Rattus norvegicus: one gene and its partners. The main gene of each other region encodes a partner of the protein of the gene in region 3 in a complex. Links are inferred from orthologs where the notes say so. Each region holds a gene or a part of one and is shown on either strand. Other genes may lie near its edges. The genes, in order: Cplx1, Sv2a and Syt1.

Region 1 (4,274 bases), on a different chromosome or scaffold from region 3:
GTAGAGCGCTTGCCTAGCAAACGCAAGGCCCTGGGTTCGGTCCCCAGCTCTGAAAAAAAAAAAAAGAAGAAGAGAAGTGGCTTGCTGTGGCCCTTGCTTTTTTGCTAGCTACCATAGACTCCTAAAACACAGAATGAGTCAGACTGGGCACATCTGTGTACAGGTGACCCCATTCCACGGGGCATCAGTCCTGGGCCTGAACAAGGCTTGGGGCATCAACCAACCTTACCAGAAGTGTGATGGGTGAACTGAGATGGATGGTGTCAATAGGAATGGCACTGGGAGACTCTTCTGTGTATGGTGTGAGTCATGTCCAACTTTCTGAATGATCCCCTCTCCTAGGCATAAACCTGGGTACAGTGCAGGCACTTCACCAGTGGGATCAGACTGTATCCCTAACTACAAGGCTCCAGGCTGAAGTCAGGGCTAGAAGATGGGGGACTTCTCTTCCTGTCTCCACTCCAGCTCCCTTCCTGGTCTCTTCTACTTTGAATCTGCCAGGTCAAAGGAACAAAAACTGATAAAAGCAAGTCTACGATGGACTCCATACCCTCCCTCAGCCCCTCGAATTCAAGCCACCAAGCACCCTGGGGCAGCTTTGGGATGTTAGTGAAGGAGGAATACTCATTAGGCAAGAAGTTTCACTGAATTGGGTGAAGGTCAAGATCTACCTAATCCGGAGGAATGACTCAGCCAGGAGGAACAGTAACAGTTAATGCAATGACCATCAGCACAAGACCCTGCGGGTCAGGAAATACCTCTGGCTACCCAGAATCAAAAAACAGCTTAGGTGTCCCCATATGCTCTGACTTCTGCGAAGCTGATTGCCTCACAGAAGCCCCCGCCCGCCCCCCAGGACAAGTACAGGGATGCCAGGCCAACCTTGTGGCCACCGGGTTCTTCTGCAGTGCAGCCGCAGCAGAGTTGAAATCCCGTTGCCGGGGAAGGGGCGGCCTAGAGGCGGGGCTGTGGCTGTCTCCGAGGAGCCCCTGCCCAGCCATGTCCGCAGTGACCTTCAGGCGTCCCTGACTGGCTGGGGTTCCTATCCCACCAAAGCCACATTTGGCGGTTCTGCACACCGGAGAAGGTTGGATGTGTGGGCTTATCTTGCAGGATCGGGGGTCTCGGGCGGTGCTCGCCTCTTCCCGCCCTGCCAGCAAAGGAGCAAAGCAACCGGGTCAAGAGCAAACGTGGTGGGTAGATGAGGGATGGCGACCCCAGCCCTGCGTTCTCCCTGCGTTTCTGGAGGGCGCTTCAGGAGGAATTCAGGAGGGTCTCCAAGCCGGTATGAAGAGAGTGGCCCAGGCCAAGGAGGGGCCCCTATGCAGCTGTCGCGCGAGCCAGGCCAGAATCTGGGAACCGGGGGCGCGGCTACCCCCCCATCTCCGCCGCGCCCCGCCCTCCTCGTCATGCGGGACGCGGGCGGGGGCGCTTCTGAGTGACGCGCCCTCCTCGCGGTGTCCTTCAGCCGCCGCAGCAGCACAGAGCGCCACATGGACCCCGCCGGCCTGAGAGCGCGCTGCTGTTGATCGTTCACCTTGGAAGGTAACTAGCGCCCTAGCAGCCAGTCCGACCTCAACCGGCTCCCACCTTTCCCCTTCCCAGCTCAGTCTTCCTCCCGACTCCGGGGCTTCCCTTCCCGGATCCCCGCTTTCTAGCCATGGGTCTCCTACCCTTGGTTCCCCTACTCTTGGTTCCTTGCCTTTCAGACCCAAGGTTGATCAGCCCGGAAGGCGCTGTCCGTCTCAAGGTGCTGAAGCGGCCCTTGATTCCCTTTCCCATCGGCATTTTTTTTTTTTTTTTTTTTTCCTTTCTTTCTTTCTTCTCTCCCTGGCGCGCTTCTGCCTGAGGCCGTGCTCCGGTCGGGCACCTCGCCCAGCAAAGCAAAGGGTGCGGCGGCCACGAAAGAACAGGATGCCTTGGTCTTTGCGGAATCTCCTCCGCAGCGACCGAGCTTCTCCAAGCCTGGCCCTGCGGAGCCCCCATCCCCCGATTACCCCGAGACAGAGAGAAGTTTAGAAGGCAACTGGCTTTGCTGCAAAGGCATCCCTGAACCCCTAGCTTCTGGGACACTCTCACTGCCTGGCACCCCTTCGGGTCTCATTCCGCAGAGGGAAACCTGTGAAATACTGGATCCCTAGGGACCAGGTTCCCTGTCAGGAAAGACCCTACAAAAAGGGATGTCTTTGCAGCTGTTGGCATTACAAAAAACACCTTTCTAAACGCTGCTGGGCATTCTGGCTTGGGTCGCCCTACCTCATGCAGAGACAATGTGGATCAGCTGTTTCCCCTCCTAGTGGAAGACCCGGACACTGTCATCTCCCTCCCGGGCCAGTACTGCTGCGGGCCTCCAGAGTCTCCCTACAGACAAATATAGTTGAGACTAGTCAGAAGTCATAAGGACCTTTCCTGAGGGGCAACATTCATGGACTTGTCTCTCCAATTCTTCCCCAGAGGGACCCTTGCCCCACAGCTCCAAAACTGCCAAGGAGGTTGAGCAGCCAGAATCTGGGTGCTACAAGCAGAGCATTGACCTTCAAATGCCCCCTGGGCCCCACCCCCACTTGAGGAGGCTGGCACCAGTCTCCAGTAACTGGTGGCCCCAAGTTGTGAGCTGCAGTGGCAGTTAAAAGCTTCCTTCAGAAACCCCAGAAGCAGCAAGATGACTGTTGGTTTGGCTGGGCTCTGAACCCTGCCGTCCTGGTCTGGGTGTGGGAACAAAGCCTCTCGCACTGGACTCTCAGGATAGTGGAGAGGTGTAGATGAGGGTCTTGGGAAGAGTCCGTCAGGGTACCTATGACCACCTACTCTCTCTAGGCAGAGGACTCCAACCACACTTGAATGTGAAATCTGACCCCGGAGTGTCTCCTGAGGAACCAAGCCATCATCATGGAGTTCGTGATGAAACAAGCCCTGGGAGGTAGGAGGTGGGCAGGGAGGAGGACATGGGTTTGGGCCACCAGGGATACACAGACATCTGATACTCAAGAGAGACATGTCTCTACCACTGCAGTGACATGGAGACACATGGCTGCATGACCACTTCTGACCTCACTCACTGCCTCTGCAGGTAGTTGCAGATTTAATATGAGATATGGGGAGAATGTGCTGTGTAAGATGGCCCTATGCCCCCGTGCCATGGCGCAGTAGAACGCACTGGTCATCCCAAGACGAGTCAAGAACTGAGCAGCATTGATCAATGCAGATACCCCGGCGAGGCTTGTGAGCAGCTCTCGTTGTGTCAGTCCTGGGAACAAACCATGCACCAGGATTGCGTTAGGAAACAGGATCTGGGTGATCCCAACTGTGGCATTGAGCTCTATGGGTTTCACCCGGGTAAGAGACAGTACTATTTACAAGGACAAGAAAGGATAACTATGTAATCAAGTCCACTTCTACAGAGAAAACATAGCCCCTTTATGTCGTTGAGTGAGGGCAGCCTCCTTACTCACTCACTGTTTGAAGAGAGTCCTGTCCCCACTTGGCCCAAAGCCATCTTTGTAGCTAGCAACAGTAGGTCTAGAAACTGGTAGAGGACAGTGGAATGAGTTCTTGGCCAGGAGGTGCTGAAACAGTGAGCTAAAAGGTTTGGTACCCGTTTGGCCAGAATGGGTTTCAACAGAGCAGTTTAGTCAGCTCAAGCCTGTAGGATTTGAGATTGCCCTAGGTGGACTTCATGCTTGTTCAAGCTACCTGCTCTAGGTACCCCAACACCCTTGTGTAGCCTCAGTGCTGAGAGCTCACACCAATTTTACTGCAGGGAGGCCCCTTGACTGGTGTGGGTCTCAGCTGGAATGTGTTAGGCATCCTTTGCTGTATGGAAAAGGGAAGGGGACCACTCACAGAGAGAAAGCTGGTTGGGGTCTTGGGGCCCAAAAGAGGAGAATCTGCCCAAATAGGCATCTCCCAGAGGGTGTCTGTGACTTCACTCGTATGTGATGAAAAGGAGACCCAGTGTGCTTGCTGAGTTCACGGCTGTGGTAGACTCAGGTTGAATCTAATTATAATGATTACATCACCGGGACAGGATTCAGAGGCAAGCCAGCATCCTGTATCAGAAGAGACCCGTGTTATACCCAGAAAGTCCCAGGCTGCTACAGACAATTAATTTGGTGGCTAATTCAGGCCCTGAGGTGGGCTTTTAAAGAAACTGAAATCTCTGATTTGGCTGTCTACGTAGCTGAAATTAGCTGGGTAATTGCCAGCCTGGATTCCCTCATTGTTCCATGTCAGCCCAAAGTTTCTCCTGCACCAGCAATGGGGCGTGCTTCTTG
Region 2 (3,297 bases), on a different chromosome or scaffold from region 3:
AGAGAGTTTCCCCCTCTCATGTTTTGTTTAGGGGTGCTACAAAATGGGGGTGGGCCTGGTATAGAAGTTACTCTAGGGATTAAAGAAATAGGATGGTAGGCAATTAGGGTATAGACTTTGAGGTTATAGATTTGGGGTTCAGCTCCACCTTGGACTGGTTACACCCTGTTAGCCTTCACCTGCAATCACAGCACCACTCTCAGAAGGCTGGTCTCAGACAGGTCCATAGAAAACATCCCGTGACTTACTTAGTTCATAGTTGGTATTGAATAAATGGCTGCTACTGAAAGGGGTTATTAATCAACACAGGGGTTGAGGACACGTGAAAAGCCTTCCTTTTGGCTACCCTGGGAAACATTATCTGGGGTGGTCTCAAAGCTAGCTGGTAGTAAGCTGGGCCACGACTGGGTTTCACGGCTGTCTCTTCTCCTGGCTCCAGCTGGTTCCAGTGTGTTGTCCTGTGTTTCCTGCTTCTTCCTGTCTTTTGGGAACAGTGAGTCAGCCATGATCGCTCTGCTCTGCCTTTTTGGGGGAGTCAGTATTGCATCCTGGAACGCGCTGGACGTGCTGACTGTTGAACTCTACCCTTCCGACAAGAGGTAGTTTGGAGTGCGGCAGGGGCAGGGGAGAAGGTTTGGGAGCTACAGGACTGGGGCGAAATGAGGAGGAGGACTGAAAGAATATCGTTAGGGATAAGAATCTCGTGAGGGATAAGGGTGTTGTTAGGGGTAGGACAGACATCCCTGCTGAGCTTTTCCTTAACAGTTGGGAGCTCTTGTCTTGGCTCCTAACTGCTAATTACTAACCTCTGCTTCTGTCTCTTTTCTCTCCTGTCTCCCAATGTGTCTGTATGCCCCACCCCCTCCGTCCCTACTCCATCCTCCCTTCCCGCTCCTGCACACTGCTTTTGTCTTACCCCACTCTGCCTTCCCACCTGCCCTTCTCCCTTCCGCTGGACCCCGACGGCCACGTGGCTTGGCCCTGAGCAGGACGACGGCCTTCGGCTTCCTGAATGCCCTGTGTAAGCTGGCAGCTGTACTGGGCATCAGCATCTTCACGTCCTTTGTGGGAATCACCAAGGCCGCTCCCATCCTCTTCGCCTCAGCTGCGCTTGCCCTTGGTAGCTCTCTGGCTCTGAAGCTGCCTGAGACCCGGGGACAGGTGCTGCAGTGAGGGATGGGGGAGTGTCTCAGGGGCTTTAGGGATGGCAGGCACACTGTGACCAATAATTTCTTTTATCCCTACCCTGCCCTGCTGTCCTGGTCCTACTCCGTGTTTGGTGTCTTAGCTGTGTGCCTGTGTGCATGTGTGTGACCCTGACGGGCAGGGGCTACGGGGAGGGTCCCTTTGTCCCATGTTTGGGAGGAGGGACTCCCCACCTGCTGCCACCCTCAACTTTGCACAAGGAGAAGGCTGAGCTGCATCCTTCTCTCCCTCAGTGTTAGCAGGGGTGGGGACGACTGTTTCTCTGCTCCAGGTGTTCCAGAATTTCTGCCTTTCCCATCATTCCCTCCGCCTAGGCCCTGGTGAACCACAGGTATGGAGTTATAGTGGGGGCTGAGGCTTGGACCAAAAGAACTTCTTGAGTGGGAGCCTCCCAAGGATGCTGGGGAGTAGCAATAAACCTTAGCCTCCGTTTTCACCTCAATTCAGGCTACAAGTGTGAAGCCTGGATTTTATGGAATTAGTTTTCTGATTCTTATTTATATGTAAGTTCTGAGGCAGCTTAGCTGGACTGTGTGTGGATGTATACATACACTCATATGTGTGTGTGTGTGCGCGCGTGCGTGTGCGTGTGTGTATGTGTGCCATGGGGTAGGGGTACCACTATACTGTTCAATTATAAGCCAAGAGTAGTAGTTTCAGTGAGCACACACACAACACTGTTTTTCTATCGTAACTCCCAGAATCTTGTACCTGTGTTGGGGCTGCAGGCAGAAGTCCTTGGTCAGGCTGGGGTGAGCCCTGCAATCTTGGGGGACCTGAGGGCACCTGACAAGGACTTTCTCCTTCCTCTAGAGAGGTTCTACCCACTAGCCACAGCCCTCCCATCTGACCTGTCCACACAGGCAGTGTATCAGAGGAAAGAAAGGGAAAATAACCAGGCACACATGGTCAAACCAGCAGGTCTGAAAGCACAAGAAGCTGGGGCAGGGGCAGGAAGCAGGGGTCCATCCCCTAACCCTTCTCAAAAAGGCTGGGTCGTGAGGGACCCCTAATGCAGGGACCTGAAGCCTCAGTTTCCCCATCTTGCCCTTCCACAGAACAGCCTCTGTAGGTAGAGCTGCCCCCCGTCCTACCCTACTCTTGTGGCTGCTTTCTTTGGTACTCTTCCCACTCCCACCGTAGCTGTGACGTGTTGTAGTTTTTAGCTGTTTGTAAAATGTTAAAAAAAAAAAAAAGTTAAAAGGAAGTTAAACTAAAAAAAAAAAAAATCCAAATTCACCCTCCTTATGCTGTGTCTGGTGCCCTCAACCCTAAGGCCATTCCGATTTTGTAACACTGAACCAGGTGGTGACTGTTTAATCGTGTCTGTGCTCAAAGGACTGCCTTCTCCTCCAGTGCCCAGTGTGTGTGTGCCCCTTCCCTCATCATTCCGTTGCTGGACGTGGCCCTCTCCCTTACGTCCCCAGGGGAGACACAGCCACTTGTTTGTCTCCCGGGGAGCCCTGAACCTGACTCCATTGATGTGAAAAAATGAAATGAAAAATACTGCTGAAAAATAAAGGGTCTGAACCCTTAAAACTCAAAGCGGCTGTGTGTGCGTCCTGGCCTCTCCATTCACAGTTCGCCATCCTGACCATCTGGGGAAGACAAACTTGTGTGGGAGAAACGATTCCTTCTTCAGGGCCAAAATAAGCAAGCCCCCTCTCTTACCATGGACTTATGGAATGGGGTACCTCAAATCTACATTTTGTTTAAAAAGCATTTACTTATGCTGGTTCTAGTGGGTTAATAGCCCTTGTTACTCTTGCAAAAAGCAACATAAACATATATTTTATTTGCATGAGCATTTTGCCTGCATATGGATGTAGGCACCACATGTGCCTGGTACCCATCAAGGCCAGAAGAGGGCATTAGATCCTCTGCAACTGGAGCTACAGGCCCTTGTGAGTCACCAAGTGGGTGCTGGGAATCAAACCTGGATCCCCTGGAGAACAGAAAGTGCTTATAAATTCGATACCACCTCTCTGGACCCCAGTTTAAAGCAATGCCTTTTGGGAATTCCTACTGCCTGCAGCTTGCCCTTGATTACCCTGTCTCAACTCCATCGCTTTAATCAAGCTGCATTGCTGT
Region 3 (3,647 bases):
TCTAGCTAACATGATGCCTAACAGGAAAAACGACAGCTATGCAATGATTTCCAATGTCAGGGAGGCCAAAACCAAATAAGAGACCTGATAGTGACCCAGACTACCAAGTCCTGCAGCAGAGTCCTTCTTTATATTCTGCGTGTGTGTGTGTGTGTGTGTGTGTGTGTGTGTGTTCGTCACTTGTGAGTACAGGAACAGCTGCACCATGACGCACATGTGCACATCAGAGGACAGCTCTGTATGTTACTTCTCTCACTCTATCTTTCTGTGGTTCTAGGATTAGGATCCAGGTCATCGGGTCCTGATGCTGGCCCTCAGTCTTTTTTGTTTAAGTAGCAGCCAGACATTAGAAATCATTAGAAATTAGAGATCAGGCAAAAAGATCTTTACTCCAAAGTTTTAAAAGAAACACTAGTATTCTTAAATACAAATTAGATAAATGAAGGGCGTGGTCTATCCTGTGCTTCTTTGGGAGGCAGCAGGGATATGAGATGGTGCTGAAGAAAGGTTATCAGTATTCAGAAGAGGGAGATAACCATGAGTGCTTGCTGCTGGCAACTGGAGGGACCCACAAGCCACAGGGACAGAGAGTGCCTGACGGGGTAGCCCAGTCTCAGTGCTTGCATAATTCCCCAAACTGTACATGTTTCCAAAACCCCAAAGGATGTTCCAACACCATGCCTAGTGTCTAGCTGCAGAGCTCGGGGAAAGCCACATTACTAAGTCTCATTATAGCCTATTGTATCATTTCCGTACAATTGCATCTTATGACACAAGTGCCAGGAATTTTAAGCCACCAAGACTCTGGGAGCTAACAGGGATTTGCTTTGCTTTACGGATAGCCCCTAAAACAGAACTAACAGTAACCATTCAGAGGCCTGCTTTTTGGGAGAGGTGATTTTTGCTTAAAAAGAAAAAAAATCTGTGTGTCCTCAAAGCATAGGTATGACTCACCACATGGCTGTCTTCCTATTTAGAGGTCGCAGCAAGGAGTCAGAGAACCAAACAAGGCTGAATCTCACAGAACTCACTGATGGGATAAGGGAGGGATTGGACCCACCTGCAGAGCAACCAGAATTCAAGACCAGACTCTGAGGAAAACAGAGGATACTTGAAAATCAGGGCAGCCAAGGAGTAGATGGAAGTGGGAAAGACTGGAGAAAACAAAGAAGCCAGACTTCAGATTGTAGGACCAAAAAAAAGATCTCTTGACTGAGCGAAGCACTGAAGGGAAAAATCCCCAATCTACATACATGCAAATGTGTAGCTTTAAGCACAAATAAGAAGACAGGACTAAGAGAAAGAACCTACCTCATGAGGCCTACACGACCTCCTACTTGTTCATTCAACAGTCAAAGAGAAAACCACGGGGGGCGGGAGGGGGTGCAGCTGGGTGGCAGAATAAATCCATAGCACGTACAAGCACCCCCCCAAATTTTATTATGCATCAGATTGTTTCAGTAAAATAGAGTGGTGAATATATGTAGCAGATATAGTTTCTGTCCTTTCAGGAGTTATATTCTACTGTGGAACAGAGAGAGGTAGATAAAAACAACCTTTTCATCTGCAACTTTCTAAAACTGTGCGGGCTTTAGATTGCTGTAATATTTCTCCCACTTCAAGCTCTAAAAGGCAAGAGAAAAAAATCTGAAAGGCTTAGCAGTAGTTATCTTAGATGATACTAATTTTTTTCTTTTTATCATTGCCTTCTGGTATTTTTCTATAATGAACTTGCATTATATATGAAATGGATTTTGCTTAAGAAAAACAGCAGAGAGGTTTTTTTTTTTTTTTATTCCTTTCAAAAGTCATGGTTTCTTGCAAAGTAAAGGTATGCCATTCGCCCATTAGTAATGAAAGCTCTAAGAGAGTGTTGCCTCTCCCCTCCAGGGTCTGGTGTATTATGTTAGTTACCTTTCCCCAATGAGGCTTAAGGGAAAATGCTCTGAAAATCCTTTTCTCTTTCCCTCCATGGGTATCAGCCTCTCCCTTATTCCCTGCACACCCTTGAAGGAAGCTATTGCAACCTATGAAGACTCAGTATGATCTCTCCGTGTCTGTCTGTCTCTCTCTCACCCTTTCCCTCAAACACACATACACAGAGAGATGCACAGACACACAAGGAGAGAGACACACTGTACATACAGACACAATGTACACACACACACACACACACACACACACACACACAGGAGAGAGAGAGAGCTCCAGTGTGAGCAATCAATCATGATCACTGACTTCTCTTCCTCAGCCCTCCCATTTCAGCGCCCCCAAACAGAGATGTCTTCTGTGTAGTTAGAGTCGTCCTATCCCTGCTGCACCCCACACTCTACCATCGCTGCCATTTTCCCAAAGATCTTGACTCGGCTCCTCCCTTGCACTGTGCTCATCAGCTTCTAACTTCACAGAAGTCTCCTTTCTCTAAAAGCTTAGTACCTATTACCCCACATTCTGAGATCCCATCACGGAAACAGAGACCTGCTGTGCTCAGTGCTGCCCCTATCGGTGATCAGAGGACCCAACACATATTGGCCACTCCAGTGTTGGCTGTGTAAGTGAATAAACAGTGAATGAAGCGGTCCCTTTGTCCTCTCCCTGTCAAGGTTTAGTCCCATGCACTAGCAAGCTATGGCCAAGCCAGCTCACAAAATTTAGCCAGTTGCTAAATCCCCACAGACTTTACAAGCCAGTTGTTAGTCCGTTTGTGGCTTAAAATGGGCCATGGTGAGTACACTTGTACCACAGAAATCTGCAAACGCTGCATGTCAGGACAGTTCCCCCTCAAAGAGCTGTTTCCCAGCATGCTCCGGTTCTTCCCTTCCAAATGTAACTCGGAAATTCGGCTAACATGACAATAAGCCTGCCCCAGAGCCTTCTTAAAAGCCTCTCAATAAAAGATGCTTGACGTTTTACAACAGATTACATAGAAGCTATGTAATCACTTACCTGTTGGGGTTCAGTCCTTGTCTGAGCTAATGTATGATCTAAAACATGTGGCTCTGGATGACAAAAAAGGTACAGACAATGAAAGTTCCTGCTGTCAGACCTAATGACCTGAGTCTGATTCCTAGGGTCCACTCAGTAGATGAAGAAGACAGACTTCCACACGGCTGTCCTTTGACCTCCATGCATGTATGCAGTGTGGTGTGCATACCACCACACACACAGTAAATCGTACTAGAATGTTTCAGATAAAACAAAAATCCACGCCTGAGCTTCTAGAGTTCCTGTGTCTGTCTTTCAGATCCCTACGTGAAGATTCACCTGATGCAGAACGGTAAGAGGCTGAAGAAGAAAAAGACGACGATTAAGAAGAACACACTCAACCCCTACTACAACGAGTCCTTCAGCTTTGAAGTTCCGTTCGAGCAAATCCAGGTATGGTCTGACATGAGTGTGTCCCTCTACCCAGTCGCAGGCCTTCAGATCCCATAAATGACCCTGTGAGTCACCAGGGCTCTGCCCATGCCCGTTCATGCGGTGCCTGAGCCCCACCAAGCAGGACATGACAGACACACAGCCGTGAGAAGGGCTGGCTCTTCAGCTGGTACAGCAAGCTGCCTTCTGCTGAGCAGAGGGAACGTAGAAAACAGAAAACCATCAGAACCACTTTGCTAGGTCATTAAGTTTGTCTATGGAATCCGAAA

Evidence for each region.
Region 1: the proteins of Syt1 (region 3) and Cplx1 are in contact, whole or in part, in a crystal structure (PDB 5W5C), measured with the Rattus norvegicus proteins. Residues at the interface, in NP_001028852.2 of Rattus norvegicus: Glu271, Thr383, Gly384, Glu386, Thr406, Leu407, Gln408, Glu412, Met416; in NP_074055.1 of Rattus norvegicus: Val61, Met62, Gly65, Asp68, Lys69, Tyr70, Lys74.
Region 2: the proteins of Syt1 (region 3) and Sv2a are in contact, whole or in part, in a crystal structure (PDB 4V11), measured with the Homo sapiens proteins. The link is inferred for Rattus norvegicus from reciprocal best matches to the Homo sapiens genes SYT1 and SV2A. Residues at the interface, in NP_001129277.1 of Homo sapiens: Thr291, Lys314, Lys326, Lys327, Lys328, Glu342, Ser343, Phe344, Ser345; in NP_001315603.1 of Homo sapiens: Asp82, Thr84, Glu85, Gly86, His87, Asp88.

What each region holds. Positions count from the first base shown.
Region 1 is NC_086032.1:1,327,645-1,331,918, forward strand, and holds the start of Cplx1 (complexin-1), read left to right. Parts: upstream 1-1,428; 5' UTR 1,429-1,545; intron 1,546-2,817; 5' UTR 2,818-2,889; coding exon 2,890-2,920; intron 2,921-4,274. UniProt on the Homo sapiens protein: Positively regulates a late step in exocytosis of various cytoplasmic vesicles, such as synaptic vesicles and other secretory vesicles.
Region 2 is NC_086020.1:186,443,411-186,446,707, forward strand, and holds the end of Sv2a (synaptic vesicle glycoprotein 2A), read left to right. Parts: intron 1-439; coding exon 440-599; intron 600-989; coding exon 990-1,173; 3' UTR 1,174-2,751; downstream 2,752-3,297. UniProt on the Homo sapiens protein: Plays a role in the control of regulated secretion in neural and endocrine cells, enhancing selectively low-frequency neurotransmission.
Region 3 is NC_086025.1:45,705,685-45,709,331, reverse strand, and holds part of Syt1 (synaptotagmin-1), read left to right. Parts: intron 1-3,244; coding exon 3,245-3,378; intron 3,379-3,647. UniProt on the Homo sapiens protein: Calcium sensor that participates in triggering neurotransmitter release at the synapse. May have a regulatory role in the membrane interactions during trafficking of synaptic vesicles at the active zone of the synapse.